Elephas maximus indicus: one gene and its partners. The main gene of each other region encodes a partner of the protein of the gene in region 2 in a complex. Links are inferred from orthologs where the notes say so. Each region holds a gene or a part of one and is shown on either strand. Other genes may lie near its edges.

Region 1 (7,932 bases), on a different chromosome or scaffold from region 2:
TGGACTATATGAAGAACAGCAGGGCATCAGGATTGGAGGAAGATTCAGTAACAACCTGCGTTATGCAGATGACACGACCTTGCTTGCCGAAAGGGAAGAGGACTTGAAGCACTTACTAATGAAGATCAAAGACCACAGCCTTCAGTATGGATTGCACCTCAACATGAAGAAAACAAAAATCCTCACAACTGGACCAATGAGCAAAGATTGAAGTTGTCAAGGATTTCATTTTACTTGGATCCACAATCAACAGGCATGGAAACAGCAGTCAAGAAATCAAAAGATGCATTGCATTGGGTAAATCTGCTGCAAAGGACCTCCTTAAAGTGTTGAAGAACAAAGATGTCACCTTGAAGATTAAAGTGCGCCTGACCCAAGCCATGGTATTTTCAATCACATCATATGCATGTGAAAGCTGGACAATGAATAAGGAAGACCGAAGAAGAACTGATGCCTTTGAGTTGTGGTGTTGGGGAAGAATATTGAATATACCATGGACTGTCAAAAGAACGAACAAATCTGTCTTGGAAGAAGTACAGCCAGAATGCTCCTTAGAGGCAAGGATGGTGAGACTGCGTCTTACATACTTTGGACATGTTTTCGGGAGGGATCGGTCCCTGGAGAAGGACATCATGCTTGGCAGAGTACAGGGTCAGCGGAAAAGAGGAAGACCCTCAACGAGGTGGATTGACACAGTGGCTGCAACAATGAGCTCAAGCATAACAACGATTGTAATGATGGCTCAGGACTGGGCAGTGTTTCGTTCTGTTGTGCATAGGGTCGCTATGAGTCAGAACCAACTCGATGGCACCTAACAACAACTCTCTTTCTGTCTCTCTTTAACAATGCTTCAGTTTCCAAAATGACTTCACATAAATTAACTCATCTAATCCACAGTTCATAAGGCAGGTAGAACTATTTGACAGATAAGGAAAGAAGGAATAAAAAAGTCTGAAGATGTTTCTGTAACTTCTACCCTCTATTCAGTTGTGCTTTTCTGGTAGCTTCTTAGCAAAAGAGGGACATGTTTGGCTCCCTCTCCTATGGGATTATTTTTCCTTCCAGATGCCAAGTGAAGCGTAGTTCAAGGAGCTTTTGCCAGGTAAAGTGAGGACTCTCTGGGACTCAAAAATGGTGCCAGTTTAAGTAGTTCTATTTAGAATTCATGACCTGGTCACAGCTTGGGGACACAGCACTTCATTCAGGAAAGTTTTCCACAGAAGCCTCTCTTTTTTTTTTTTAACTTTAGGTGAAAGTTTACAGCTCAAGTTAATCTCTCCTACAAAATTTTATACAGGTATTGTTATTTGACATTAGCTGCAGTCCTTACATTGTGACAGCACACTCCTCCTTTCTACCTCAGGTTTCCCGTGGCCATCCAACCAGCTCCTGCCCCTTTCTGCCTTCTCATCCTGCCTCCAGATAGGAGCTGCCCATTTGGTCTTGTGTATCTGCTTGAACTAAGAAGCACACTCTTTAGGAGTATTATTTTATGTTTTATAGTCCAGTCTAATCTTTGTCTGAAGAGTGGACATTGGGAATGGTTTTAGTTCTGGGTTAGCAGAGCATCCGGGGGCCATGGCTTCAGAGGTTCTTCCAGTCTCAGTCAGACCATTAAGTCTGGTCTTTTTATGTGACGCTTTTTTCCCACCCCGTCAGGGACTTCCTGTTGTGTTCCCCGTCAGGGCGGTCATTGGTGGTAGCCGGGCACCATCTAGTTTTTCTAGTCACAGGCTGATGGATTCTCTGGTTTATGTGGTCATTTTTTTCTCTTGAGTAGTATTTCCCTTGTGTCTTTGGTGTTCCTTCATTCTCCTTTACTCCAAGTGGGTTGGGGCCAATGAATATATTTTAGAGGGCCGATTACAAGCTTTTAAGATCCCGGATGCCACTCACCAAAGTGAGACGCAGAACATTTTCTTAATAAACTTTGTTATGCCAGTTGACCTAGAGGTCCCCTGAAACTATGGTCCCCAGACCCCAGCCCTGGCTACTCTGTCCCTTGAAGTGTTTGGTTGTATTCAGGAAACTTCTTAGCTTTTGGGTTAGTCCAGTTACCACACAAGCATTTATTTAAAAAAAAAAACAAAAAAAAAAGCCGTGTTACCTGTGGATATTGAATTTGAACAAGCAAGAAAAACTGGAAGCAATGCACATGTCCATCAACAGGTGACTAGATAAGCAATGGAATACTACTCATGAGCTTTGATACCTTGAATTTCAAAATAATTATGTTGAATGAAAGGCTAAAAAAAAAAAGAATACATAATATGTGATTCCATTTATATGAAATTGTAGAAATGCAAACTAATCTATAGTAACAAAGTTTTTCAGTGATTGACTGGAAATGGGAGCAGTGGTAATGGGTGGGGGGGAATTACAAAGGGCCACAAGGAAACTTTCTGGGGTGATGACTATGTTCATTATCTTGATGGTGGTGATGGTTTTATGGGTGTTTTTGTATGCTAAAACTTACCAGATTTTATACCTTAAACATGTGCTCAACAAAGCTGTTAAAATAGATTGAATATAAAAATTTTGAAAACACAGGAAAGTACACAGAAAATGAAAATAACCTATGTTGCCACATATGTTATCACATCGATTCAGAGATAAAACCTATTAAGAGGTCAGTGTATTTCATTCCAGTCTCTTCTCTATACACACACACACACGCAGAACCACTTGTGTATTCAATTATATCACAGCATTTTTCCATGTCTTTAAAAATTCTTCTTAGTATTATTAAGCACAAATATTAGTGGTCTCTCCATATTCTATCCTATGTATACCCGTTATTCAGTTAGCCACTTTCTTATTGGCTGTTTCACAAATTTGGTTAGTCCTAACTTTTCATGTTTGAAAGTATCACTGCTGGTAACATCATCATACATATATCTTTGTCTAAATATGTGATTACTTTCTTAGGATCTATTCTTGGAAGTGGAATTACTGAACCAAAACCTTCCCCTTTCCTGAATGTAGTTGAAACGGTATAGGGCATTGGAAGGTCTAAAAAATAATTTTCCAGGTGATAGAGTTTATGATAAGTCAGTCTTAGAACTTGACCAAGCTGTGTTCACTGAAACTAGATGTCTGCTTGCATGCTGGGCTGTGTGAGATTACCGATTTTATCTAAGAAGTCTCTCAACATTTGTCCTTTTCCTGTAAATTCCTTAGTTTTTCCTATAAAGTTGGCTCCGTTCAGCTTGGATGAAATGCTAATTTAGAAATGGTATTACTGGATATGAGAGGGAACTGGGGCAAAGGACAGGAAGGTAGGTAGGAGAAAACAGCAACATGGTGGCTCTGGATTTATTAATTTACAACAAAGGCTTTTTAAGCACCTACTGGGTGGGACAATGGGGCCCTGGTTGTGCAGTGGTTAAGAGATCATGCTGCTAACCAAAATGTCTGCAGTTCAAATCCACCAGCTGCTCCTTGGAAACCCTATGAAGCAGTTCTACACTGTCCTATAGGGTCGCTTCGATCAACTCGACGGCAACTGGTTTGGTTTTGGTTTAGGTGGGACAATATTGGTCCTGGAGAGACAAAAATGGATAAGGTGTCTCCAAGCATGTCACAACATAGTAACAGGTAATTATTACATATCACCTCCTAGATGTCTAATGAGCATCTCAAACTTGACATGTCCAAAACAAAAATCTTCCCCAAAACCTGTTCTTTCTCTAAGGCTTCCCTATTTTAATAACTGAGACAACCATCCACCCAGTTGTTCAAATAAAAAATCTAGGACTCATCGTTTATTCTTCAGTGCCTTATCCTCCACATTCCAGCTTATCAGCAAATCTTCTCAACTCTACCTACACAATATAGAAATATCAGCCTTAGTCCAAACTGCCATCATCTCCATTAAAATGGCCTCCTAACCTGCCTACCTTCATCTACTCTCTCAACTCTCCAATCCCTTATCCAAGAGGAGCCAGAGTGGTCTTTCAAACATCAGATCATGCCACCACCTTGGTTGACACCCTCTGATAGTTTTCCGATTCACTTAAAATCGAAGCTCCTTTCCGTGACTTTGAAGGCTCTGCCTCATCTGACCCTCATCTCCTTCCACTTTTTCCCGGACTCACTCTGTTCCAGCCACAATGACCTCAGGGCCCCCGACACGTAGCTGGTCCTTCTACCCGTGTTACCGCCATGAACCTTTACTTCTTCCAGAACTCATTAAAAGTGTATCTTCATGTCTGTCTTCCTTGGCCAGCCTACTGAAAATAGTCGCATTTCCCCTTCCCCAGTCTCCAGCCACCATTCACCCTCTAATCCTTTACACTTTTTTGTTTCCTCACAGTACTTTTTTCCCTGTTATGTTTATTTGCGTGCCTCTCCCACTAGGCTCTATGTAAGTACCCATGCAAAAATTTGACTTGCTTCCCATTTTTTTCCCATTCTATCCCACTGCCTGGAAAAAATGGAGCAGAGGAAATATTCATTAAAAGTTTGTTGAATGACTAATTAGTACTTCTCACTACTGTAACTGCTTTATTTATTCATCTGTTTGTTTAGTGTATGTCTGTCCCCATGTGAATGTACACTCCAGGAAAACCAGGACTTTGTTCATCTTGTTCACCGCTATATCCCCAAAGCCTGGAACAGGGCTATAACAGAGGTAAGTGCAAAGCGAAGTTACAGCGATGGAGGGGGCAAACTAAACTAACCGAAGGAGCCAAGGGGAGACCTCACAGATAAAAATGACATTTAAATTGGGACTGGAAGGAAGACGTGGAAACAAAAAACGCAGAGAAGGAAAAGAATATTTCAGGCAAACGGAATCTCGCGAGGTGACGGGCAGTCAAGATGGCGTCCAGCGCCTGCCGCCACACGTAATATGGCGACCAGGGAAAGTTCCTGGAGGAAATCACGCGAGAATTGGGTCACGGCGACAGTCCGAGAATTGAGCCGGGGGTGTGGAGCAGCCAAGATGGAGCCGGCAGCCGGCGGCCCAATCCCGATGATGGTGAACAACAAGCAGCCGCAGCCGCCGCCACCTCCGCCGCCCGCATCCGCGCAGCCTCCACCTGGGGCACCGCGGGCCGGCGGGGGCCTCCTGCCCGGGGGCAAAGCCCGAGAGTTCAACCGCAACCAGCGCAAAGACTCGGAGGTCGGGAGCTCGGGGGGCGAGGCTGGCATCGGGCGGGCGGCTGTGGAGGTCCTGGACTTGGGGCCGCTCTGGGGTCTAAGCTCGCTTCCTAGAGCGGTCGACGGGCCTGGCCGGGAGGCTGTCACTTTACGAGAGAAGCAGGAAGCAAGGCTGGCACCCCCCTCGGGCCGGGGGCGTGAAGCCGGGATCCCGCCCGGATCCCTGCCGCACGGGAGAACCGCCCGGAGCCGGGTGATCGCTGGTTTGCTGCTCTGGGACGGGGCTGTGGGCGCTGCCTGGGGGACCCAGCCCCTAGGGAAAGCTCCCCATCCCAGTTCGCGGGTGAAGAGTCAGCGGTCTTCGTGCTCTCTAGGGGGCCAAGGTGGCTGCGCCCCCATCCCCTGATCGTCGTCTCTCGGCTGCTGATCCCAGGCGCGCGGGCGCCGGGTCGGTGGATCCGCAGCGCGCTGTGGACCGCGTGTGTGGGCAGGGAAGGGACTGGCCAGTGTTTAAAAGGCTCTTTGAAGCCGGACGGAGCTAATTATCACTAATAGTACTAGCTCCCAGAGGTTGCAAGAATGGGAGGGAGTAACACTCCCTGTTTCTCTCCTTAGCAGGCTCAGGCCATGATGTGACAGTGTTTGGTGGCTGCTGTGCTCAGTGCGCCTGATGCTGAACTGTTAAGATCAGGAATGTACATTTTCAACGTTCCTTAGGGCTCCTCTTCCCCCTCCCCTCTTGCTAGTGGGCTGTTCCTCCAGTACCAGAGACTGTAATCCTCTAGTCTGGAGCTGGTCGATTCGTAACCTCACCCCGAGTTAAAGAATTCCTCCCACTGCCTCCTTTTGTAGAATTCATGAATGAAGACACACACTTGGCAGCGTTTTAGGACTTCTTAATCAGCATGTTCCCAGGCACTTACTATGAGGTCGGCTTCACCTGAGACAACTCAGAGGAAGCTGATCAAGCGGTCAGGCTCTTATTTATGAGCAAGAATTCATCATTGTCCAAGAAAAACTATCGGGTCATTCCAAAGAGTGATGATACTATCTTTAGACCTGTGAAATCAGTTCCTCGCAGACTTCTGTTTTTTGTTGACGGTCCTAAAGTCTGGTAAAATATGTCAAAATTTGGCAAGTCCAAAGTAGAGGTACCCTGAGCTTGAAGTGAATTGTTTAAAAATCAAAGAAATTGACCTTTCAGGAACCCTTGCATGGTGGGGTGGTGGGAGGGCCATGGCGAGGACTTGATACCTTTTTAGGTGTGGAGGGTTGTGAAAATGCACCTCTCAAGATGGTGTCTTCTTAATAATCACCTATTCCTTTGCCGAATTCTCCTCTGTGTGGGGGAGGGAAGCCATTCTGTGAGGCTGCTGCCTTTTCCGTCTGTCAGTTCTCACTGAAATTGGGGAGAGGGACAAGAAGGCTGAAGCGCTTCAACACCCACTTTGTCCTGAGCTGCTGATAGCCCAGTAGCCAGAAAGACGTGAGACTTCCAGAATCTTAGCACCGTGCAGAGTGGTCATTCAGTGCACAAAATACAGAGAAGCTTTGTGTTCACTGATCTAACAAGCACTTATTTGAGACATAAACTATTAATTCATTCACTCATTCATGCCAGGTACTTTGCTGGGCATTGTGAAATCTTTGGTGAACAAAATGGACAAGTTCCTGCTTTCAAGGAACTTGCACCCTCCTGGAGAGATAGACACTAAACAAAAATTCTGACACCGAAAAAGTGCTATGAGGGAAAAGTATAAGATGCTCTGAGAGGGTTCCCTGGGTGATGCACGTGGTTAATGTGCTGAGTTACTAACTGAAAGGTTGGAGGTTTGAGTGTACACAGAGGCACCTCAGAAGAAAGGCCTGGCAATCTGCATCTGAAAAATCAGCCATTGAAAATCCCACGGAGCACAGTTCTACTCTGACACACATGCAGTCGCCATGAGTCAGAATCGATGACACCTGGTTTCATAAGCTAGGACAGGAAACAAAGTATTTTGATAAAACATCAAAAAAGTGGAGACAGTGATGTTCTATAACACAACATTGTGTCTGGAGAGCATATGTCTCTTTCTTTTAACAATGCTCGGAATGATCTTTTGCATAAAGCTCTCTCTTTTTCTCAGCAGGGCTATTCCGAGTCGCCAGACCTTGAGTTTGAGTATGCAGACACAGACAAGTGGGCTGCAGAGCTCTCTGGTAAAGCACAGAACTTTGTATTGGTTGGGAATGGAAGAAATAGATTTTTTTTTTCCTTATCGATATATTCTTTCAGAAAATTAAGAGTGTAAATATATTTTGGAAGTTTCTTTTTCTTTAATTAGTGCTACTAATAAGATATATAAAACACGTAACCGTATTTTTACATAAATGACGCGTGCCTTCTATGTTTGTTTGCCAGCCTTGCCCTTTCCCTGGGAGATATTTTCAGCTGTCAAAAAAAAAAAAAAGGTAGCGTAGTGTGCTTATGGAAATACCTGGTAGGGGGTAGAGGGAGTGTGCAGTTGGCAAAAAAAAAACACAGAAGGTATGCATTATTTGTGTAAAAATACAGTAATTTAATTCAAGCCTTCAGTGTCTCATGACTTGGGGTTGCCCATCACTTTTATGAAGCATCTGTGTGTAGTCAGCTCAGTTAGCTGTAGGGTTCAGTCCCAATGTGGGGACAGCTAGTGATGTTCTCTCCATAAATTATCCCCCAGCAGTGATCTGTCCTCGGGCAGTGGGTCACAAGGGATGCCAGCAAGTGCGACTATGTCAGTGCATACCCATCGCTGCTGCTGCAGCACACCTGTGATGTGAGGCCAGCTTAAGCTGTTTCTCAAG
Region 2 (7,567 bases):
CCCATAGGGCTGTGGAAGCTGATGATTCCCAGAATCAGCTGGTCAGATGGCAGGCCACTGGCTCAAGTCCCAAGAAAAAGAGATCAGATAGTGGAGGATAATTAGGAAAATCACAGCAGATCACAAAATGGAGGACAGCCACGCAATACTGGGAATCATGACCTAGCCAAGCTGACACACAACTCCAACCACCACACCTTGTCAGGGTTCCATATTCCTTATTTGCGTGGCCCCGCCCAATCATTGTGTGGAAGCCACAATGACTATGGCTAGAAGGGCTTTATTAAGTAATTTCCTGTACCTGAATCCCCATCCCCACCAAAGCACACACACATAAACCAAAAAATAGCAAACACTCCATTATCTAAATAATCTATCAGCATTTCACCATTTTTTAATTTTAAACTGGTTTACTGATAGATAAATCAACATTTTGACGAGAGTTCTCTGTTCTTAAAAAGGGAACCCCATTTTTGCATTTTTGTGTCACTTAGGCATTATTAATTATAAAATGAAAAGATCAAGAAATCAGCAACACTGAGGTCTGAGGCTTAATGTTTAAGATTATTTTAACTCTACTGAATTAAAGTTCTGAGTAGGGAATGAAAAAGGTAAAAAGAACAACCACTGAGCCCGTAGTATTTGCCAGGAGTCTGTTGTTTTCATTTGATCTTGTGAACTCTATTACAATTAAAAAAAAAAAAAAATTACAATAGCAGCTATCATTTTTTAGTGTATTATGTCAGGCACTGTGTTAGGGGATTTACATGTCTTCTCTCATTTAATCTTCACAGTAACTCCATAAAGTAAATGTTGCTCCCATATTAAAAATCATGAGAAGTCCTGGTGGCGCAGTGGTTAAAGTGATCAACTGTTAACCAAAAGGTTGGTGGTTCAAAACCAACAGTGGCTCTGTGGGAGAAAGATGTGACAGTGTGTTTCTGTAGAGATTTACAGCCTTAGAAACCCTACAGGTTTGATATGTTGGAATCGACTTGACAGTAGTGGGCTATATTAAAAATCAGAATACTGAGGCTGGAAAAAAGTTGAACCATTTGCCCTTGTTTCCAGATTGGGAAAATTGTAACATCAGGAAGAAAATTCAGGTTTGACTGAATGCAAGTGCCGTGTCCTTTCCAATCATTCATTTTTTAACTTTTTTTTTTTTTTTTAATTATAAAGTTATTCTTGCTGTTGTGAATGAGAGGGCACATGGAGAGGGGCTCCTGGGTGCTTGCAATGCTCCATGTCCTGATCTGGGTAGTGGTTACAGTTTGTGACAGTTCACTGAAGTGTTCACTTAACATTTGTCAAGCTTTCTGTTACACTTCCTATCTTATCTAGTGCTGCTATAACAGAAATATCTCAAATGGGTGGCTTTAACAAACAAATCTATGTTTTCACAGTTTGAGAGGCGAGAAGTCTCAGTTCAGGGTGCTGGCTTTAGGAGAAGGCTTTCTCTGTCAAGAAAGATCCTTGTCTCTTCTGAGCTTCTACTCCTTGGTGATCTTCACGTGGCTTGGTATCTATCTTCCACCATCTCTGCTTGGTCACTTGCTTTTTTAATCTGTATCTCCAAAGAGATTGATTTAAGACACGCCCTACAGTAATACTGTATCATTAACATAAGAAAACCCATTCCCAAACGGGATTATAACCACAGGTATACCAAGCCAAACCTGCTGCTGACGAGTCCATTCATAGCGACCCTATAGGACAGAGTAGAACTGTAGCACTTAACCACTGTGCCACCAAGGTTATAGGGATTACAATTTACGACACATATTTTTGGGGAATGCAATTCAATCCATAACACCTCCACAAAACGTTTATTTAAAAAAGGTAATTCATACTGAATACAGAAAATTCGAAAAGCACAGATAAACACAAACAAGAAAGAAAAAAAGAAAATTATTATTCCAAACTAATGGTTTCAGAAGTTGATTAGGTATACCTGTTGCCTTTGAGTAGATTCTCACTCACAGTGACCCTATAGGACAGAGTAGAACTGCCCCATCGGGTTTGCAAGGCTGTAAAACTACAGAAGTAGCCTGCCACATCTTTCTCCAGCAAGTGACTGGTGGGTTGGAACTGCCAGCCTTTTTGGTTGCAGCTGAGCTTTTAAGCATTGCACCACTACGGCCTCCCTGCTTCAGTATAACACCAAATCCACTGCTGTCAAGTCAATTTCAACTCGCAGTCCCTATACGACAGGGGAGAACTGCCCCACAGAGTTTCCAAGGAGCAGCTGGTGGATTTGAACTGCCAACCTTTTGGTTAGCAGCTATAGCACTTAACTACTACACCACCAGACTATCCTTCCTCCGTATAGGAGGAAATCATTCTCCTAAAACAATTCAAGGCAAAAGAACTGCAAGGGAAGACCTTTTTTTAAAAAAGTATTTTTTTTTTTTTGGTTAAAAAGAAATCGTATTATAGAAGTTTTTGGAAAATGAGAAAAGTAAAGTAAATTTTCTTTGTAATTCTACCTTAATATAATCACTTCTAATATTTTGGTACATTGAGTGAATGTCTCTTGCAAAAAGAAATGCTCATAATATTACAGAATTGATTTTGTGTGTACATAAGTCCTTAAAAAGCAAAAAGCTATAATAGTATTGTAAGCAATGTCACTACACTATGAGTTTAAACAGTGTTTTTATATATCTGTGATAGTCCAGGTTATGTTTAAATTTAATTATGTGTTATAGTCTGTTATTTATTGATTTAAAGGATTGTTGGACATGTTAGAGAAAAAGATAATTTTTAACATACAAAGTTCATAAAAACCACAAGATCGCTTAAATCACCCAGATGACAAAGCATGCTGTTATTCATAATTGTCCCCTTTGTGTTCTGGTAGGTCTAATAAGGAACACAAGAGGAGGCAATGAGCTAATGAAAAGATCACTAGAATAGCAGTCAGGAAATCTGGGTTTTACTTTTGGCTGTGCCACTTATTAAAGGCCTCATTGTGGAAAAGTCTCCTAGCCTCTCTGGGCTTTGGTTTCTTGGGCTGTAAAATGAGAGGATTAGCCTCTATCTCAAAGGACACTAAAAGTCAAAATAATTTATGACAGGGAATTTGGCCAGGGTTGGATGCATCTTTTATCATAATAAAGCAAAAACATGCAATAACTGTGGGAAGAGAGCTTGCCATGCCTTATTCGCAACCAGAATAAATACAATGTGTTTCCTGTCCTTCCCCCAAGGATTCATGGGAAGGGGTGGAGGACAGGATAGGGACAGGATGTCCTTCCCTTACATGTCACTCACCAGCCTATATCTTTACATTTTTTCATGGTCATCAGATCTCATATCGCAGACTTTCATCCCACAAAAGAATTAGAGATAACTTGTTAGAGTGACAGTACCGGGGCTCAATTACATTTTCATTTGTTAACAATTTTCGTTGTAGTGTGAATTTGTAGTCACATGACAGAGACTTTGGCGAAGAAAAACATTAAAAAGAAACTTTTAAAAGGAGAGGAACTCGGTGTACCTTTGGTAGGCTAATACTGTTGCCAGTTCGCAGGTGAATGGTGGAAGAAATTGGGAATGGGACAAAGGAAAAAAGAGAAGTGCCTGGATACCTAAAACAGCTTTAGGGAGCAGAAAGGGAATTTTGTTCTTTCAGGTAGTGTAGCTTTGACGTACTGTGAGAGTTGGTTATACATATGTCAATCTTTCTTTGATAATAGGAACTATGTCTTATTTATCTCTACATCCTCGGTGTGGGATATAACTAGTAATCTAGAATTTGTTGAATTGAGTAAAAAACCTGCGGGATAAGGTTAAGAAAAGCAGAACAAGATACCAGAAGCCTTGGATATCTGTAACTTTTACAGGACTTCAGTAGTTTTTCAGATGAGGTGTCAACAAACCAGGATTTGGAAAAGAGAAGCAGAAATTTGCTGCGCTGAGTACAGGAGGGAGGTGGCGAGAGCTTCTTAAAAGTGAAAAAGGATCAGGAAACAGGTCTGAACTTCCGAGTGAAAAAGAGGCAAAGCGACGGAGGTATGCAGATTGCCAGAGCTGAGGAGAGTCTAGGGTCAGAGAACCACCCAAGTCGGAGCCGAAGGGAACGGACTGGTCAGCTGGGTGGAGAACACCCGTCCAGGCGCGATCACGGTAGTTCGCTTTTGAGCTTGTTTCTTAACAGAACTACCAGGAAGCCCTAAAAGATGTGCAACTCTGGTATTTTTGGCGTGATAACTTCCGCGTGTGTATGTGTGTATGAAACAGGCAACGCCGCCCTAGAACTTCCGCATGCGACTGAGGCTGGAGCGCTGCCTACCGGCGCCCAACGCCGGCCCGAGAGGAAAGCGCCACTCCCCGTCCCGGCGGCCCCCATCTCCGCTGGCGGGACTCAGCCACACCCCGGCCCAGCCGCAGCCGGAAAGGCGGCCTCGCCGCGCTCGCCCTGCGCCGCGCTCCGCGACTACGTTTCCCAGCAAGCCCCGCGCCGCCCGCGCGCCGCAGTTGACCCATTTCCCGGCCCGTCACGGGCTCGGCGGCCCCGCGCCTAGGCGGCTGCTCTCTGCTGACGGGTGTGGGCGGGGAGCGGCGGAGGGAGGAGGAGGCGCTGCTGGCCGCCGCTGTTGCCTCCGGTGCTGGGCGCTTGGGCAGCTCCCCGGCTTCTGCGGCCGCCATGGACGAGCAGGCGGGTCCTGGCGTCTTCTTCAGCAACAACCACCCGGGCGCCGGTGGTGCCAAGGGGCTCGGGCCTCTGGCGGAGGCTGCCGTGGCCGGCGACGGGGCGGCCGCGGCGGGGGCAGCCCGAGCCCAGTACAGCCTCCCAGGAATCCTGCACTTCCTGCAGCACGAGTGGGCCCGCTTCGAGGTGGAGAGAGCCCAGTGGGAGGTGGAGCGGGCGGAGCTGCAGGTAAAGACCCTCCCGGCCTGGCCCACTTCATCCCGCCTCTTCGCTCCTTACCGCCCCGCCCCGGCCCCCTCCTTCCCCCGGCCCTCGCCTGTCCTCTCCGCCTTGCTCCCGCCCATCCCACCCGAACCTCGTCCCGGTCCTCCCCTCACCTTTGCCTTTCGCTGACCCCCGTTCCTTGACCTCAGTACCCACTCCCGCCCCTGGTGCGTTGTTTACCCTCCCCGCTGCTTTTCGCCTGCTGCTCCTCACTCATAACTCTCAGTCTCATTCGAACTCTCTTACTATCCTGCATCTTAGGTCATCCCTTTCAGTTTACTAATTGAGCTGACAGTAGTTTTGAGAGACCTCGAGCAAATCATCTATCCTGGTGTGTCCCATCCTGGGCTTAGGGATCTTCCCAGCAAAGGGTATTGGCACTTGGCTCCGCTCTCTGAAAAGAAGGGGATCAAAAAAGACAACAAGTTGTGTCATTAAGGCCTTGACTTCAGGCAAAAGTGTTATTAGAAATACTAACTTTTTTTAGATATGTAAATGTTTCTAGTCCACCCCCTCCTCCCTCCCCCGCATTTCTTTGAGATAGTTCACATTCATGGATTTTGAAGGAAGGATTTAGATGATCACAGTCAGATAGATGGTGGCTCAGAGATGGTTCCTGTTCTCAGAATCTAAAACTTTCCAAGGGCTAATTTTATTTGCATTGTTTTGTGAGATATCCCATAACTTTAAAAAGAACTACAGGGGCTTAAAAGTTGGTTACATTGCTTTTTGATGCATAGTCTGCAAGATAAGTATATCCAGGGAGGAGCGGTGGTGGCTTTTATAGTTGAATGAAAGTGAGGCGGATACTTTACAGGCCATTTTGAGTTGGTGAGTAGGCTTTCAGTGGCTGATCTTGAAAATTCCAAGACATACACAAATTTCACAAGGAGTTTAAAGAATTGTGAATGGCTGTACCTTTCAATTTTATAGGCTAATCCTGTCTGTTTACAAAACATGAATCTAGTTTTGGTTGGGGAAACACTTGAAGTTCACATGCCACCTAGTGTGTCACTTTGTTTGGTAACGTGCATTTTCTTTGGCACTTAAAGAAAAGGAGAAATCTATTAAATAGAACCATGTGCTGGAATGGTCTCCTTTGGTGTAGTGGAAGTGGCTTTGAGAAGAGGAGACAGGTTCTAGTACGAGCTGTGCTTACTACTGTGACCTTGAGGAAATCCTTTAACCACTTTTGGCTTCCTTTTCATAATTTATTCAGAGTATGTTTATTGAGCGCTGGCTATGTGATTCTAGGCCCAGGGATTAACAAGACCTACAAAGCCTCTACCTTCATGGAGTTTGCCTTTAATCAGGAGGCAGATGGGGGGGGTGGGGGGAGAGGGGCAAGAAGATGGCCTGTAGTGGCAACTACTATGAGGAAAAATAATTGGGATACAGAAATAGAGTGTGATGGGGTAGCTGTTTTAGATGGGGTGGTCTGGGAAGACTTCTCAGAGGAGATGACATATAAGCAGTTAAGTGAAGCAAGAGTGACTCCATTTCTACAATTCTGCTTTTACAGTTTCTACGGTTATATGTTTATATATTCTTTGTCAGCTTTTTCATCCCTACAGTATTTGGTCTTTTCGTGTTTGTTATTTTTATAATAATGAGTCTGACGGTATAAGTAATCAGCAGATTTGATTGCTTATACCATCACTTTTATTAGCAGTACAATCTGTAAATAAACCTGTGGATTTCAGACTTCAGGGGTGATTTAACTTTGATGTTGAAGAAAATAATTGTATGTAGCTGCTTAAATTTTAATTTATTTTTCAGTTTAGGGAATGTGAGATAAGTCAGACTAGTTCGGTCAGAAGCAATCAAGAAAACAATACTTTCCTTCCTACATGTAGAAGTTAGGGAACTTCCAACCCACCCCATCCTTTCCCCTCTCTCCTCCCCATTCCCCATGTCTACACTTTTTATCTGTGCTGTAGTCAATCTTTAAAAAAAAAAAAGGAGCCTTGGTTATACAGTGGTTAAGAGCTCTGCTGCTAATCAAAAGGTTGACAATTCAAATCTACCAGCTGCTCTTTGGAAACCCGATGGTTCTATGTTCTAGAGGATTGGTTGGAATTTACTCCACGGCAATGGGTTTTTTTTTTTTTTTGGTTTTGGTGGTCAATCTTAAAATTTAGACACAGACACAGAGACATATGTTTCTGGGTTATTTATGTCAAATGTTGAACTTTAGGTAAGTTTCCCCATAATCCCCATCATATTAAGGGTACAACTTTTACAGTATCTTCTGGTTCGTGGTCAGAGAACAGAAGTCTACTTAAATATCAAATTAAATTAAGCTTCTGCAGAGAAAATTTTAAACAGTGTCATTTTTTCAAACAGTATGTATTTGTAGGGAGGGGGGAGGGTTGGCAGGAATCTGTGGCCTGAGTCTCCCTTATTAGTATAATTGAAAGTGTTTCTTTCTTCAATTACCAACGTCACTAAATTTGAACATTTCCCTTTTGCCATTGGAATTTTCCTGGAAAAACAATAGGCTGTAAAAGAGTTGAATGAATTGCGATGAAATATGAAGCAGCTGATGTCTTTGTTTTAATTTTTAAATCTCTTCTCAAGCCATTAACATCAAAGTCAACAAAAATCACTTTAAGTCTAATTTGTCCCTTCAGGAACCTGTCAGTC
Region 3 (7,927 bases), on a different chromosome or scaffold from region 2:
CTCTGTCTCTCTGGATCCATCAGCCATTAAGAAGGCGGCCTCCTGAGTATTTGGGTTCTACCTTAGTGTTGGAATCCGGTCATTATTCGCTCTACCCTTGGAATTAGAGCAAATGTCCCTTCTTCCCTCCACGCTCTGACCTGGGTATCTGGATGCATCCTGGGTATCTGGAAGCATGGGAGAGATAGCTCATCCCTGTTTCTTTGTGTGTAGCCCTGGCCTGTGGGGCATACATACCGTTTTCTCTACAATGAATTTGTGCTAATTTTTGAGTTTTTTTTTTTTTTTTTTTACTTTCTTGATAGGAATATTCAGTTCTATTTTTCTCATTAAAAAAAGTATCTGATCTAACTACCCTCTACCTTCCCGCCTCCCTATCCTACCCTCCCATTTGAGCACGGCTCCCCATGGCCACATACTCCTGCAAAGCTTTTTTGCTGCTTGACTTTTCTCTGAACAGATCTGAAACTGCTGCTCCTGTGGTTTTCTCAAAATTAACTTAATCATGGTTTTAAAAATGAAATCAGAATGCATTGTTGCATTAAGCTTTTTTAATAAAGGAAAATTACAGAAATAAAATAGGCAACACCAGCAAATTATATATGGACAAGTTCTGAACTATATATACATATATATATTATATATATATATTAAAAAATCATTAGTTCTCATTATCGTCATACTGAAAGGAAATAAAGCCTTGAGGATCTCCATTTCTGAGAGGCTCTTGGAAATCTTTATGTCTGAGTAATTGTAATAGATCAGCAATAATGACCATGTAATCTCAAAAGACAAATAAAATATTCCCAAAATGGATTCTGGTTTTGAGTGTAGTCCTTGCTTCTGTGAACTAGGAACTCAGCAGAGATGTGAGAAGTCTATGGGCAACAGGCTAGCGAGCCTACTGTAGGGAAAGGATGGGAAAAGCTGAAGCAGTTACCAGCAGGCATGTTTGAATGGCCCTAGCCTTGAGACCCTTACTCCATGGTGGGGGTAGGGGTGCACTCCACTAATACCTAATCCTCTCTGGCTGTGTTGTGTAAAGGACCTGCTTTCTCAGAGCCAACATCCTGGGGAGTTGAGAACTGTTTAGGACAGAGATACTAATGCCTGGCTCTAAGTTTCCCAGTTCCTGTGTGTGCTGCCCTAAACTGGAGAGCACAGGAAGCCAGCATCCCCACTGCTTGGGACCAGAGCACCCTGACACTCAGGACCTGACTACATGCAACCAAGAGGAAGAAAGAAATGAATCAGGTTGCATGACTCAATCAGAAACTAGAGGATGAATCCAGCTGTCTCTTCTTTACCAGTAGAGTAGCCACCTTCTTTAGTCAACAACCTAAACTGGCTCTACATTTTACATGCAAGATGCTTACCTACATCCCTTCCTTCCCTATCAGAATCCTCTGCCACAGGAATTTACCTAAGCTAAGGGCTTTTTTTTCAAGGGCCTCAGGGCTGAAAAGTCTGGGTCCTTGGTAATGGTTCAAAGCTGGTACCACTCCAATTGAGAGGAGGAGGATGCAGCAGCTAACACCCAGGCCTGCTCCGCTACAACAGAGCTTGCCTCCTGTGAAGGATGGAACCTTGGGTGTCCTGGGTCCTAGGTTCAGACTCACAGGGTAAGCTCAGGCTGCCCACTATTGTGCAATTTCTTCACAGTATCGTGGAAAGAGGTTGGACTTTGAACCAGACTAACTTAGGTTTGAAATCGTGTGACTTGGCCAAATTATATGACCATTCAGAGCCTCAGTTTTCTTGCCTGCAAAATGGATGGTGCTTATCTCCTAGAGTAAGGATTTAACGACTGATGTCATGAAATTCCTCGCCTCAGTAGAGGGCCCTGCAGCTTCCAGGGCCCTGCAGCTTCCATTGCCTCGTTACATCCACACATGCATGTTATGGTGGATGAGGGTGTTCTATGCTTTTTCTACTACATTATCCTCACTGCCTGATAGCCTCACAAACCAAGTCCTTTAAGACTTGCATCATATTTTTACACTTTCTCAGTGCCAGGTACAGTCTATTCAATCAGGTCTCTGATCCCCATGGATTAGAGTGTTTACATGAGGGAAAGAGATATGTTTGGTCCTTGTAATTATACCTATTTACAATCCTCTGCCAGTGGGCTCAGAATACCTGAATTTGGGGAACAAAGAAAATTGGCAGTGCAGGTCCATCTGCCTTAAAATTAACAGCACTGGAGCCATCCCTAAGATGGCAAGACTTGTAGACCAGGGCCTGACTAATTAGCTCTTAGATATATATTTATGGCTGCCTCTGTGGTCAATAGTATTGATGGCTGTCATTCTTGACAAATAAGCTAAAAGAAAGGGAGTACGTGCCAATTCCATGGCCTATAGTTTCAAAGTTTTCAATTCATCTCTGGTTTCTTGTTATTTCTTACAGGCCTTATTTCCAGATGCCTTCTATCTTATGACAAGCTCTGAAAGTCTGGGTCTGTAATGAATGAGCAGACTGTCTGATCTTTACTGTCTCCCATTCCTCTAGGGGGTGGAAAAGATAATGGAGTGAGGTCTCTCCTCCATTGATTCTTTGCAGTCTCCATAGCACCACTTTTTCAAATCTCTTCAAAAGTGAAGCCAGATGGAGCTCTAGGCTCAGCAATTGGCTAGAGATGAAGGCCAGAGGGGACTTGAGAGGGTCCTCAACTCTCCTCCCAGGTGAAAATTACTCTCCCCAAGGATAGGCAGGAGAAAGAAAAAAGCCTCAAAACTGGCCCCTCCTATCTGCTGTCTCTCCTGGGGGTCCTGCTGGTTGACTAGGTTCACATAGAGAATGTGAAGTTTTCAGCCCATCAGTCCTAGCTCTGGCTGCTAGGAAGAGAGGTATTAGGAAAAGGGAAGGTAGAATAATTAATTCTCTTTATTAAGAAGCCCCCATGGGCTGTGCTGTGGCAGGTTTTACCACGCTAAAGCAGTGATGAGCTAGGCGTGGGCTGTGAATTTTAAAGCAGAGCATGCATCTCTTAAGAGTTGTGCAGATTATGCCCCCATCCCCCAGAAATTCCAAAATCAAGTAGCTTAGGCCTTGAGCCAGGGCCTTTTTTTGAAATTCAAACCAGTTTGATTCTACTAAACTAGTGGGTCTCTGTTGGGAAGAGTTTGGCCCCAGGGGACATTTGGCAATGTCTGAAGACTTTTTTGTTGTCACAGAGAGAGCAGGTGCTGCTGGCATCTAGTGAGCAGAAGCCAGGGATGTTGCTAAACATTCTACAATGCACAGAACAGCTCCCCACAGCAAAGAATTATCCAGCCCAAAATGTCAACAGTACAGAAATTAAGAAGCCATATGTTTAACATGGAGAAATGAAACATACAAAAATGAGCAAGACTTGGCCCTACTCTCAAGGAGTTTATATATCCAGGTTTGCGGGGGTGGGATGATAGAGGAGTGGGGGGTGGGAAAAGAAAAAGGAAACGGGTGGGTACAATAAGGAGATGCTGGGGAGCAGGGAAAGAAAAGAACCCAGATAGCTGTAAGAAGTGCCCCTTCTCAACTCTGCCTTGATCTGTCCCCTACAGACTAGCAGAGGGAAGCATGAGGGAGAGATATGGTTAGGAATGGGTTAGAGTTGTCCCCAAGACATGAGAAGGAAGAGTAATTCTTTTGGTGCCCTTGCTTTGGAGAAAATGTAAGGATTTTCAATCCAGGCAGGATGCCAGCCCAGCCTGAGTGGGTTGAGGAGGGTCAAAGGAAGATTTCCCAGAGGAGGAAGTGATGCCTCCGTAGAACCTTTAAGGAAGGAGTCAACCAAGAGTACAGAAAGTTTCCCTCAGACAGGACAGCATACTCAAAGACACTGAGACAAGAAAGAGTAAGATACCTTGGGAACTGCAAGGAGTAATTGTTCTCAGTGAGTCCTGGTTTCCTCATAAGTAACATTAGGTTAGTGAAAACAACCTATGAGAGAGAGGTATGATATGATACCTAGAAAGTGCCTAGTGCAGGGTCTGGCACAGAGGGCGGTTCAGCTCAGCAGTCCCCCCCACAACCTCTTCCTGGCTGTGGATGGTGATTTGGTGTCACCCATTCTCCTCTGGGGGGTTGTTTGGGGACTCCTATGACCAATCTAGACTGCCCTAGATGTTCACTGTAAGTTGCTTTTTAGGTAAATTCGAAAGAGGGCAGTCCACACAGCCTCAACTGCCCCCACCCCCCACCACGCCCTCCCGGTAACCCCGAGCCTTACGAAGGAGAGGAAAAGGAAGGAAAAGGCTGGGAAGCCAGTGGGGTTAGTGGTTTGATCTCCATTCAGCATTTACTCCCTAACTCACACCATGAGGAAGGCGCCCCAGAACAGCAAGGAAAAGCAGAGAGATGACCAGGAGCAGCCCTCAATTTCCAGAGCGTTCAGCAATCTCTGTAAACTAAAAACGTGACCCCACCCCGCAGCTCCCTAGTCTCCCAGCCAAGCCGTCGCTTCAGGGGAGGGGAGTGATGCGTTCCCTTCAAAAATTTCAGCTTGCAGGGAGGATGAAGGCCGAGATCCTCCTGTTCTGCAGGATCCCCGGCCACCTGGCGGTGCCATGTCTCCCTGCGACAGAAGCGGGATTTGGGACGCTTGCAGGAGCCAGGGTTTGAGGGGCAGGGGTCTGCGATAATGGAAAAGCAGACTGCAGTGCGGCAGGAGACGGAAACTAGGGCTCCCCTAACAGGAAACGAGAAACAGAGATACCCTGCGTGAGCTCAAGGCCCAGAATTCAGGAGGTGGAGCGGGGAGCCAGCCCCCCAGGCTCCGGCTCCCAGCGACGCCGCAGTATCCCTTGAATGAGCCCCACTTCGTCCCAGTCCCTCTCGGAGCCGCCGGACAGCCAATCGAGTCTCGGGGCGGGGCTGCGGCGAGCGGCCTCAGCCAATCGCTGCGGAGGGGCGGGGTCGGGCTCGCAGCGCGCGGCGGCAGGGGCGCCCTAGGCAGAGCGCGCAGGGCGCCGAGCAGGGCGGAATGGAGGAGCCGGCTGTCGCTAGGGCCGGGAGCCCTCCCGCCAACGGCAACAGCAACGGCGGCAAGGCGAAGCAGGCAGCGCCCAAGAGCCAAGAGGCGTTCCGGAGCCAGCGGCGCGAGTCGGAGGTGAGGGGCCGGGGAGACACCGCGGGCGGGACGCGGCGGCTGAGGTGATTTTGCCCGACCCCTCCCCCGCCCCGGGGTCCCAGGCGTCCCGAGAGCCTCGGCCCCTCGCCCCGGTGCTCCGAGACCCTGGGCCCCGGGCCCCGACGCCCCCGGCCCCCAAGACCCCGGGCCCCTCGCCCCGGTGCTCCGAGACCCCGGGCCCCTCGCCCCGGTGCTCCGAGACCCCGGGCCCCTCGCCCCGGCCCCGAGACCCCGGGCCCCTCGCCCCGGTGCTCCGAGACCCCGGGCCCCTCGCCCCGGCCCCGAGACCCCGGCTCCCTGAGGCCCCAGCACCCCGCCCCGGGGCCCCTCGAGGGGCGCCAGCGGGGTTCTAGAGTTCGGGCTCTGCGGCCGGTGACCCCCTCCATATGCCTCCTGCAGCGGGTCGGGGGCTTTCTAGTCTCTGGCCTTCCTCCGGGGCGCGAAGATGTAGCGCGTGGAGAGTACCAGACACTCGTCGATGTTCTCTCAGTCAATCGCTGCAGCCCCTTGAGGGAGGAGCTCCTATTCCCATTTTACTGAGGACAAACCGAGGGAGCTGGTGAAGTGACTGGCCCCACGGCGGGGAGGCTAGAGCTCAGCCTCAGAATAGAGGGGTCGGAGTTGGGGGGCAGTCGCCCCCCTCCTCCAAGGCTCCACAGGGTCCCAGAGCTGGCCTTCCTCTCTGCCTTGTTAGGCTCTTTAGGAGGTGCTGTCCACAAACGTGAGGATCCCCACCTGTAAGGGTTAATCAAGACAGGATTAGGCCAGGCTGTACATGAGTATTTGGATGGAACAGTCCCAGGACTCAAACCCACAGTTAGGAGACTGGGTACTACCTCTTCTCCTGAAAAGAAATCCTAACTAGGAAGATGAAAGAAGTGAATAATTGTCATCCCACCCCCCTTCACCCTGCAAACAGGCCAGTTTTCATCAAATAGGCAAGAGTAGAACTGAATCTGAGCATGGATCAAGCTAATAGAACCACAAAATGTCAGATATAAAAGGGTCTGTAGAGTCATCTGGTGTAGCCCTTTCATTTTACAGATGGAAGAGACAGAAGTGACTTGCCTGAGATCATACATCTGGTGTAATGGCCAGGAGCACCAGCTTCCTGGTCAGTTAGACCAGGGTTTGAATCCTAGCCCTACCCTTTACTATCTGTGTGACTTTTAGCAAATTACCGAGCCACTCTAAGTTCCAGTTTCTTCATCTGTATAATGGAGTTAACACTGTCTACCTCAGAAGGTTGCGATAAAGTTAAAATGAGATAATTGGATGGAAAAAGTTTAAAATCATGCTGGCACGATGTAATTGGTCAGTACGTAGTAGCTCTTAGTACTGTATTACTATCATTGTCATCATCATCACTGCCACCACCACCACGTGGCAGAGGTGGTACTAGAAGCCAGGTCTTTGTCATTTACAGCTAATTATTTGAATAGCACTTTAAAGTTAACAAAATGGTTTTCTGTATGCTTCTGTTTTCCATAATAAGCATAGTAGGAACCCACTCTGTTTTTTTTTTTTTAATAGAAGTGGAGGAAGTGAAAAGACTGGCCCAAAGTCACATCACCTTGCAGAGACAGAGCTTGGTTGTACAGGAGCCCTTTTGCCTTGCTAGGTCAGTGTATTGTCTACCACATTGTCCACCCCCTGCCTCAGAACCAACCTGGCTTTTTTAGGGCACCCTGTGCCTCCTTTCACAGAGACATTTTTCTTGCTGGGAAAAAAAATTTTTTTTTGAGGGGTTAGTTAACTCATTAATGCAACAATTATTGAGTTCTTTTGGCCCTGGTGGCTTAGTGGTTAAGAGCTCGGCTGCCATCCAAAAGGTTAGCAGTTCAAATCCACCAGCCGCTCCTTGAAAACCCTATGGGGCAAGTCTCCTCTGTCCTATAGGGCTGCTAGGAGTCGGCAATGGGTTTGGTTTTGGTTTGGTCTCTATATGCTGGGTATTGTGTTAAGTGCTAGGGATACACCAGTGAACAAGACAAGGTCTTTTGCCCTTGTGGAACAAACAGTAGTGGGGGGAGGCAGATAATATTCAAGGAAAAAAATCAAAATAATTTCAGAGCGATAGGTGCCAGATCGCCCTTCTGAGGTAGGAGCCTCTTCCGTGCATCTCAAGCCTTCCTTCAGCACCAGGCACTGATGGCACTGCATGAGCATACCAGATACTTTACAAATATCATCTCTATTAACTGCTGCAGCCCCTTCAGACAAGAATTCATGTCCCCACTTTGCATGAGCTCCGCACCCAGGGACTCCGAGCCTTCCACCTGCGCCGCAGTTACCTCCTGACTGCCCGCAGCTGCACTTCCCATGCATGCCTGGAAACCAGCAACTGCAGTGATCACCGCTATCTGTGGTCATTGCCTGCCAAAAGGCTGGCTGGGAAGATTAGCTTCCCTCCACTTTCGCTGCAGCAGGAGACCTGCTTCTACCTGTCAGTACCTCCCCTGTCACCACAGCACCCAGGTGCCAGGCTCAGATGACTATCTGTGTTCCCTTCCCTCCTTCTTTTTGCTTTCCTATAGTTTTTTTTTTTATAGAAGATAGTCCTCAGGGAAGATGGTTTTCTTTCCTCCCTTGGGCTTCTCAGTAATTACTAGAAGAGAGTTTCTGATGGCATAAGCCTTGTTCCTTGTACACCGCCGGTTTTACAGGGACACTTTTGGCCTCCTCTCTCCCAGTGGCTTACTGTATGAAAATCTCAGCCTAGAAAGGAAGCTAGACAATAATTGTTTCCTTAGTGAAAAGATTCTTAACCTAACAAAAGGATTCACCGCAGGCCTGTTTGCAACCAGATCCTCT
Region 4 (7,924 bases), on a different chromosome or scaffold from region 2:
GCGCTCTAATCACTGCTAAGAGTAGTGCCAAACGAACGTGAAGAAGGGAGATGAATGATCATTTCTAAGTCAACCTGTATCCATCAGCATCTGGCAAAGGTATTTTAAAATTAACCAAACAAAATCCAGGTAAATATCTGTTATTATTTGCTTTTACTTCTAATAAAGAACTGTTTACAATTTGCTAAAATTCTCCATGTCTCATAATAACAAAAGAAAAAAATATCTTCAAGTTCTTAATTCTAACACTGATAAGGATAATTTGTTTCTGGAAGATCACATATAAAATAAATAAATAAATGCCCACCTCCATATATGCTTAAGCACCATCGGATTTTTTCTTCTTTCCTGTTTTTAAAGGAATGACTAGAAAAATGGAAGAGCAAATTCAGTTTTTATGCAATAAAATTTTCTTCCTATAATCAAGCTTCAAAAATGGTATGTGTCTAGGAACTTGAGGTAAAATGGTGATGAGCTAGGGACAGCCCTTTGGTTCCACCTGTTGGGGGGCCTTTTCTCCTGGCACATACTCTCTATCTCAGGAACGGATGTAGAAACTTTGGAACCCAGAGTCGTAGATGAGTCTGCAGCCCACCACAGCCTGAATCAAATTGGCCTCCATCTACACTTCTGCAAAGGCTAAGCAGCACAAAGCAATTCTCGGAAATATTCTATAGGATTGATTGACTCTTGTCTCTCAAACTATGTTTCAATGTGTACATCGAAGAAATACTGGCCAATATTTCTAATTTCAGTAAGTGGATATAGGGCAACTTCTTTATGTTGAGTGTTATGTGAGGTACTGCATGAGATAGAAAATAAGTACATGGTCTCAAGAAGCTAATAATCTAGTCAAAATACGTTCCAAAGTCTGAAAAAATTAGAGGCAAGACTATAAAAAATAAAACCTTTATCTTTACATAATGATAAATGTTGATCCTCAAAACAGTGTCTAACCTTAGAAGTTTGCTTTAAAAAATAGATAAATAAAAAGGGCCCCCTGGCCCCCCCAAAGAAGCTCTTGTTCATCATTATTGTCTGATTCAAGTACCTCTATTATTAAAGGGGAAAACATTATTTTAGGTTTTTTGTTCTTTTTGCTTTAAATAATATGTTTCACATGGAAGTGAACACATATATGTATGGTCTTTTCTGCTTTGCTCTAATGATCCATTATTATTCAAAATGCAATGAATTCATGTTGGCCTGACTCTAGTTAAAATGACAATGTAGGAAAGTAATGTCTCCCACTTTGGACATATGCCTATAGAAATTAATGATTAGGGAAAAAAAAAAAAAAGAAAAGGTGAAGTCCCTTAACAAAAAAGTCAAATCTCTTTTCTCTCTTGCTAAGGGTATATTCCTCAAGCAACTTTCTTCCTATTTGGCACCCCCTCTACATGCACCAAAACCGTCTTGCTCTTCGGTCCTGCATGAATCAGTGAATCCTCATTAGAAAGAGAAATCCCTGCTACTCAATTATTTTTACTCAATAGGCTTGAGTCAGAATTTTTAGTTTAAAAAACAATCCAAAAGATAATGTAACTGGAAATTAACAAAGTCTTTTGACTAAAGAACTGTAATCCCCAGAGAAACTTCCATTTAAGAGAGACATTCTGAACAGGTTTTTTTGTATCATGCCAATCTCCCTGATACGTATACGCAACTAGTAAAACTCAAGAACACTAAATAATACCCTTTTAACCTAGGGAGTGCTTTAAATAAAATTATAAACTGCCATATAATAACTGTCTCAACACTGGTAGAGTCAACAGAAGTCTTTAGATAATCTGAAATTTGGTATAAACATCAACTTAAAATGTGTTAAGAGTTCAAGGTAATAGATAAATGCCCATGTAGTATACATTGGCAATCATTTTCTCCCCTATAAAAGCATGGTCCTTCTACTCTTAAATGATAAACAAGAACCCAATCTCTTTCATTGACACATTAAGATACGAATCTGGGAAACAGGCAAAACATTTAGTATTTGAATACCACAAACTCATTCATTCCTGATAAGATTCTAGCCTTTATGACAGCTGAGAACAAAAGGCCTGTAAGTAGTTGGAATTCAAAGTTCATCTGAATCTTAACTCTTCTGATATTTATTTTCTACCCTATTTGCTTGACTATTAACTGCTTTCCCAACCAAATGCTTTCCAAAAGATCTTTTAATAGCACTCTGAAAAAACTTCACTGTCATTATTATTATTACATGGGGGAAATAAGCCAGTGACAGTAATTGTTCGATTTCACAAAATCAATCAGTAGCAGAGACTGAGAGAGAATCTAAGACTCTGATTTAGGACAATCCACTTAATCACAAACAACAAGGGCAAACACAATCTTTTCTAAACCTCACTATACCCTATTCCTTTTTCTCCCCTAAAATCATTTCACATCAAATAATCAACTACGTGGATTAAGAGGCTGTCCTGTGACGTAGCAAAGATAAAATCTGATCCTTACAATAGCTACGAAGTTTGGTGGCTGCCGTTGCTTTTTCTTTCTCCAAAGCTCTGTTTCTTCTAACACCTGATCTGCTCCTGGACAATCTAAAAGCAGCTCTTTCTTTCTTGTTTTTTTTTGTTTTTAAATATTTCTCTGGTGTGTGAATGCAGGAGGGGGTGCTGAAAAGGAGTATATATATATTGTTAAGTCACTTACGCTATTAAGCACTTATAGGAGTGAATGTTAAACTACAAATAGAACTCCTTTGAGCCTTGTCTTTTCAAAAAGGAATTTTGTGCACATTAGAAAAATAAAATTCTATTAGTCGGAATTGACTCGACTGTAATGGGTCTGATTTTTGATTTTAAGTAAAGCAAGAAAGTGTGAAAAAGAAAACAGAAAGCAATTATTCTGTTTTATTGGCCCTAGCTCAAGAAAATCCAGATTAAAGTATTCAGACAGACTCTCTGAAATATACAACTGTCACAATGAAGGCATTTCAGAGCAAACTCTGCTGCAATATGCTACCATGATTAAAAGCCATGTAATCTGGGGAACCTCTGTAACGAAAAGAAAAAGGCAAATGAAGTAGGCAAACATCTTTTTACATACTTTTCTGAAAAGAACAGCTGTAATTGTATCAGTTATAAAAAGACAGAGGCAACTTCCATCTTTGCCTAATATTAAAACGTATTTCCGTCCATCAGCATGTAATTACATTCAAAGATTTACACACGATTTAATACTGTGAATTATTTTATGACCCTCCATGTCTTTTAAGTCTGAAGCCATCACAACATATACTAAGGGCAATCACTCAGTACACACTCTCTACAGAGGAGAGATCCTTACACAGCTTTTCTTGTACTTTTGTTTTTTAAATGTACAAATATTACCGGACACAAATGAAAGAATAAGGAGCAATGAAGTACGCTATATGTTCCCACTGTAGGCTGAGTCCGGGTCTTTGTTTCAATATTCCAGAGCCACTGGAAGGAAAGCTAAGTATCCACCCATTAAAACACATTTTTACATGTTTGCTGGCAAAAGTTATACTTCTGATACGTTCAGTCATACTGATTATTCCTGCCTGCATTCGCTTCCTTAACACAGATCTCTTTCAATTCTAGGAACCTGCAGTACAACCACCCTGGAAAACAGGTCGGAGCAGGACAACCTGATAAACCAACATTAAAGGGCAGACACTGAAGAAGAATGCAAACTTATTTTCTTAGTGGAAGAGTTCTGAAGTAATTCTGTATCAATGACATTTTTGCTTTTTACTAGCTACGCACCTATCCAGATTATCGTCCACCTTGTCCTCAATCAGCAGGGTTTCCCTCAATTTTGGAATCTCCCAGAACAATTTTAATGCTACAACTGAAAACACTAACCACGCCCTTTTATGCCCAGGGTCTAGCCACCTTTTGCTTTTTTCCCCTTAAAGTCCAAAAATGTACGTCTTTCACTCAAAAGGGTTTGCACCGGTTTCCTAGCCTGAGGCAGAGACTCTCTTGGCTGTGCCCTGACACAATTCCTATAGAAGAGGCTTTTTCATGGGCAGTAAAACCCTGCAGTGTGTGGACGCCTGGAAGAAGCACCCACGCTTACCTCCCACACACCTGCAACCCCTCGCGGGATGATGGAGCTGATGCTCCGAGGACCGCGCTCAGCTCCTGTTCCTGCTCTTGCTCTCGTCTCTCCCGGGCAACTACAGTCCAGGCGGCGCCTTCAGCTTCTACAGGGACCCAAGCTCCGCCTCCCCCTCCTCTAGTTGGCGAATTCGGCAGCTGTTGCTCCTCCCCCTGCTGTTCCTGCTGCAGCCGGGGCGGCAGGCGGCGGGAAGCCGTTGCCCGGGTACCTCCCGCTCCTGCACTTCTGCAGCTCTTCTGCCGCTGCCTGTCCCTGGAGACCCCTGTCCCCTCACTCGGTGGCCTCACACCTGGAGCTGCCTCCAGCCCCGCCCAAGAGCCTCCGCGGACAGCCCGAGCTCAGCCTATCCAGCCCCGACCCGCGGCTCCGGCAGCCCGGAGTGCCTGGAACTCGGCTGTTCTCGAGGAAGCTGCTCCTCGGGCCGCGGCGCGTCTCCACACCGCGCCTTCCCTTGGCCGAGATGACTTTCCCAGGGCTGCCTCTCAGCCCGCGCGGAATACCCATACAAGCAGTCCCACGTTCCCCACCTTGGGCCCCTCCCTCCCTTCCGTCCTCTGCTCTGCTAGCCCGCCCCCACAATGGGTGAGTTGCCTGCGGGGCAACCCTGCACCCTGATTGGCGCAGGTGAGAGCTGACCCCGCCCTTCCTCTGCTTTCCGTGCACCCTTTCTCTTCATCTCACCTACTGCAAAGGCAGGGAACTCTTTAACTATTGGCTAGAAGTGTCCCCACCCATCGCCTTAGGCTCCTCCGCATGGCCTGCCGGGAACTGTAGTCGTCTGAGTTCAGGAATTGCCGGCAAGGACCTCGGATGGGACTACGAGTCCCCATACGCCCTTGCGCGACTCCGGCTGGGCAGGATTCCGGACAACGCCTGGTTCCTCTCGGGTCCTTCCGGCGTCGCCGGAGTGAATTGATCCGGGAGTTGAAGAGGGCTCCAAAGGTGGGAAGCGGAGTCAGTGCCCCAGTTGCCGGTAAGGTGTGGGTGTTCTGTTTCAGTCCCCGTAGGTCTGAGCGGAGCAGAAGAGGTCTGGGTCACACAGGGGCCGGGGCTAAGGCACTCGGGTTTGCCTCTGGCAGGCGGAGCGGACGGGGCTGGGAGCGGGGCCCTATGGGCGTAAGTGAGGTTACCCTACGCGAGTGGCGTAAAGGGGGTTTGTAAATGCCGCCTGCCGGGCTTGGGCCTGAGCGCCTCCAGGAAGTTTCCTCTAGGTGGGGGCGGGAGGGGAAGGGCGAGGCTGGCCTCTGGTGCCCCGGGAAAGGGCAGAGGGCGGATGTGCCGGGAGGGGGGGGGTCGTCTGAAGGTGTGGCTAGAGGCGGAGAGATGAGGCTGCTGTTTCCCCCCTGCTTTGGAGGTAGGATGGGGAGGAGTGGAGGAAGGAAGGAGTGTATGGGAGGCTGCTCTTAGGGGTGACTCGGGTTATGCCCTTTGAGAGAAGAGAACTGTATAAGGACGGGTCAAATGTTGACGGGGACCCACGGATTAAATTCCAGTTTCTTGATGTGGCTTCTGTAAGGAGCAATTTTGCCCTGAGTAGAAAAGCTTGACCCTGTTATGTGTAATACCTAAGATGTTTACCTGTTTACTGTTTTCAAAGTACTTTCACATCCTGCTGCTAATGAAGAAACTGAGGCAATAAGTGTCACACACGTAGGGACAGATCTTGTCCAGTTCTAGTCCAGCTTCTGAGTCAGAACTGCCTCTCAAGAAAGAAAGAGTAGGGAGGTTGGATGTGTCTTTTTAAAAAGGTGCAGGGTGGAGGAAGTTACGAAGTAGTGTATCGTAGTTATTTCTAAGAAGTCATTTGTGAGGTGAAGAGTTACTAATTTTGAGCTGGGGTGAAATTCCTCAGTCTAGAGGAAAGGCCCACTCTGACCTTTGAGAAAAATTTTTAAAAATCAGTTTCAACTTAACATATTTTTCTTATTATTAGAAGTATATTAAATGATAAATTTATAGCCTGTATTATTACCACATTCCATTTTAAAGGGTATATAGGAGATAAGAGAATGTCAACTAAGCAATATATTACATCCTAGTTACAAGAACATTCCTTTCATTTCTTATTTTAGGACTATTTTTATTCTTATTTTGTAAAACTGACGACAGTGGTATTGGAATTATTCCATAAAACTTACTTTATACTTTTTTCAAATAAGGTAGTATCCAGAGAGTTTAGTGTGCTCGATACAAGTAAGGGAGATACATTGCTTTCCACAGAGGTAACATCAAATTTCCTGCTTGGGATTTTTATATTCCTGGGTCTGTGTGTGTTTAAATAATAAAATCTGGATCTAATATGCTTTTCCTATGATTTTTCTTTTAATTTGTCCTTATTTTACATTAGAGAGTGAAAAAAGAAAAGAAAAAAAAAGGATGCTTATGTTTCATATCAAGCAGAAAGCAGTGTGCTTGCTCCAGTCTTCCCAACACAAACCCACTGCCATCAAGTCCATTCTGACTCACAGCAACGCTATAAGACAGAGGAGAACTGCCCCATAGAGTTTCCAAGGCTGTAAATCTTTACAGAAGCAGAGTGCCACATCTTTGTACCTCGGGGTAGCTGGTGGACTCAAAGCACAGACCTTTCAATTAGCAGACACACGCTTTAACCAATGTACCATGAGGGCTCCTTCGTTCCAGTCTTACACCCTGTGATTGTTGTTATGACCAGTTATAAAAAAAAAAAAAAAATGAATATTATTATTGAATAGTTCTTTAATAGAATGTCAGGATTAAGTTCATTGACATCAGAATTTCTTTGTAATAAGTTTATCCAATAATTAGATACCTAGTTATAGTCAGCGGAAATCCTGGTGGCATAGTGGTTAAGAGCTACGGCTGTTAGCCAAAAGGTCGGCAGTTTGAATCCACCAGGCACTCCTTGGAAACTCTGTGGGCAGTTCTACTCTGTCCTGAAGGGTCGCTGTGAGTCAGAATTGACTCCACGGCAACAAGTTTGGTTTTTTTATAGTTAGCAGGTGACCAGTCATGGCTGGCTTTTTTATAAATTGATCATTAAAATATGCTGAATTTTTAATACACTCTACAATTTATTATTAACAATGTATTATATTCCCCTATGGTTGAAGTTAAAGTGGTCTGGAAATTAATGTGATCTTTAAAATAGAAGCAAGTTATGATCCTACAGATGAAGTAAAATCCAGAATAATGTAGTACCTAGAGTAATGTAGTACACAGGGAAGGCAGAACAGCTAAACAAATGGAAAACTATGTGAGGAAACTGTGCTAAATATTAAAAAGGTAGTTTAAGCAGACCATGAACTGAGCATTAGTCAGTGACGGTAAAACAAGCATGTTAGTGTATTTTCTAGGTGGTAAAAATGACGTTTGTTTTTTGTTGGGGGAGGTAGGAAGTGATTGTAACTTTTTGCATGGAACTAAAAGAGCTTTTGAATAAGTCAGGAAAACTTGGAAAATAAGTTAAATGAAATTAAGTATAACATAGTTGGTGTATTTCATTGTATGTTGGCTTTGGCCTTAGTTCGATTCTACCACTTTGTCTTCTTTTTATCTTTAAGGTTGATTATAGTTTTGATGTTTCATCTATGCTGGAATGGTGCAAACCAAAAAAAAAAAAGCCAAACCTGTTGTCTTTGAGTCGATTCCGACTCATAGTGACCCTATAGGACAGAGTAGAACTGTCCCATAGGGTTTCCAAGGAGTTCCTGGTGGATTTGAACTGCTGACCTTTTGGCTTGCATTGGTAGCTCTTAACCACACTACTCCACCAGAGTTTCCTGGAGTGGTGCAGTAATGTTTTATTGTATTTTTCATTCTTTGAAGTCATATTCTG

The links.
Region 1: STRN (region 2) and STRIP1 share a complex: the UniProt entries of both Homo sapiens proteins name them as parts of the core of STRIPAK complex. The link is inferred for Elephas maximus indicus from reciprocal best matches to the Homo sapiens genes STRN and STRIP1.
Region 3: STRN (region 2) and STRIP2 share a complex: the UniProt entries of both Homo sapiens proteins name them as parts of the core of STRIPAK complex. The link is inferred for Elephas maximus indicus from reciprocal best matches to the Homo sapiens genes STRN and STRIP2.
Region 4: STRN (region 2) and PDCD10 share a complex: the UniProt entries of both Homo sapiens proteins name them as parts of the core of STRIPAK complex. The link is inferred for Elephas maximus indicus from reciprocal best matches to the Homo sapiens genes STRN and PDCD10.

Annotation. Positions count from the first base shown.
Region 1 is NC_064821.1:171,316,498-171,324,429, reverse strand, and holds the start of STRIP1 (striatin-interacting protein 1), read left to right. Parts: upstream 1-4,921; 5' UTR 4,922-4,945; coding exon 4,946-5,125; intron 5,126-7,232; coding exon 7,233-7,305; intron 7,306-7,932. UniProt on the Homo sapiens protein: Plays a role in the regulation of cell morphology and cytoskeletal organization. Required in the cortical actin filament dynamics and cell shape. Part of the striatin-interacting phosphatase and kinase (STRIPAK) complexes.
Region 2 is NC_064844.1:27,388,808-27,396,374, forward strand, and holds the start of STRN (striatin), read left to right. Parts: upstream 1-4,556; 5' UTR 4,557-4,651; coding exon 4,652-4,885; intron 4,886-7,567. UniProt on the Homo sapiens protein: Calmodulin-binding scaffolding protein which is the center of the striatin-interacting phosphatase and kinase (STRIPAK) complexes.
Region 3 is NC_064826.1:20,707,207-20,715,133, reverse strand, and holds the start of STRIP2 (striatin-interacting protein 2), read left to right. Parts: upstream 1-4,927; 5' UTR 4,928-4,966; coding exon 4,967-5,092; intron 5,093-7,927. UniProt on the Homo sapiens protein: Plays a role in the regulation of cell morphology and cytoskeletal organization. Required in the control of cell shape. Calmodulin-binding scaffolding protein which is the center of the striatin-interacting phosphatase and kinase (STRIPAK) complexes.
Region 4 is NC_064841.1:33,488,947-33,496,870, forward strand, and holds the start of PDCD10 (programmed cell death protein 10), read left to right. Parts: upstream 1-4,918; 5' UTR 4,919-5,080; intron 5,081-7,924. UniProt on the Homo sapiens protein: Promotes cell proliferation. Modulates apoptotic pathways. Increases mitogen-activated protein kinase activity and STK26 activity. Important for cell migration, and for normal structure and assembly of the Golgi complex.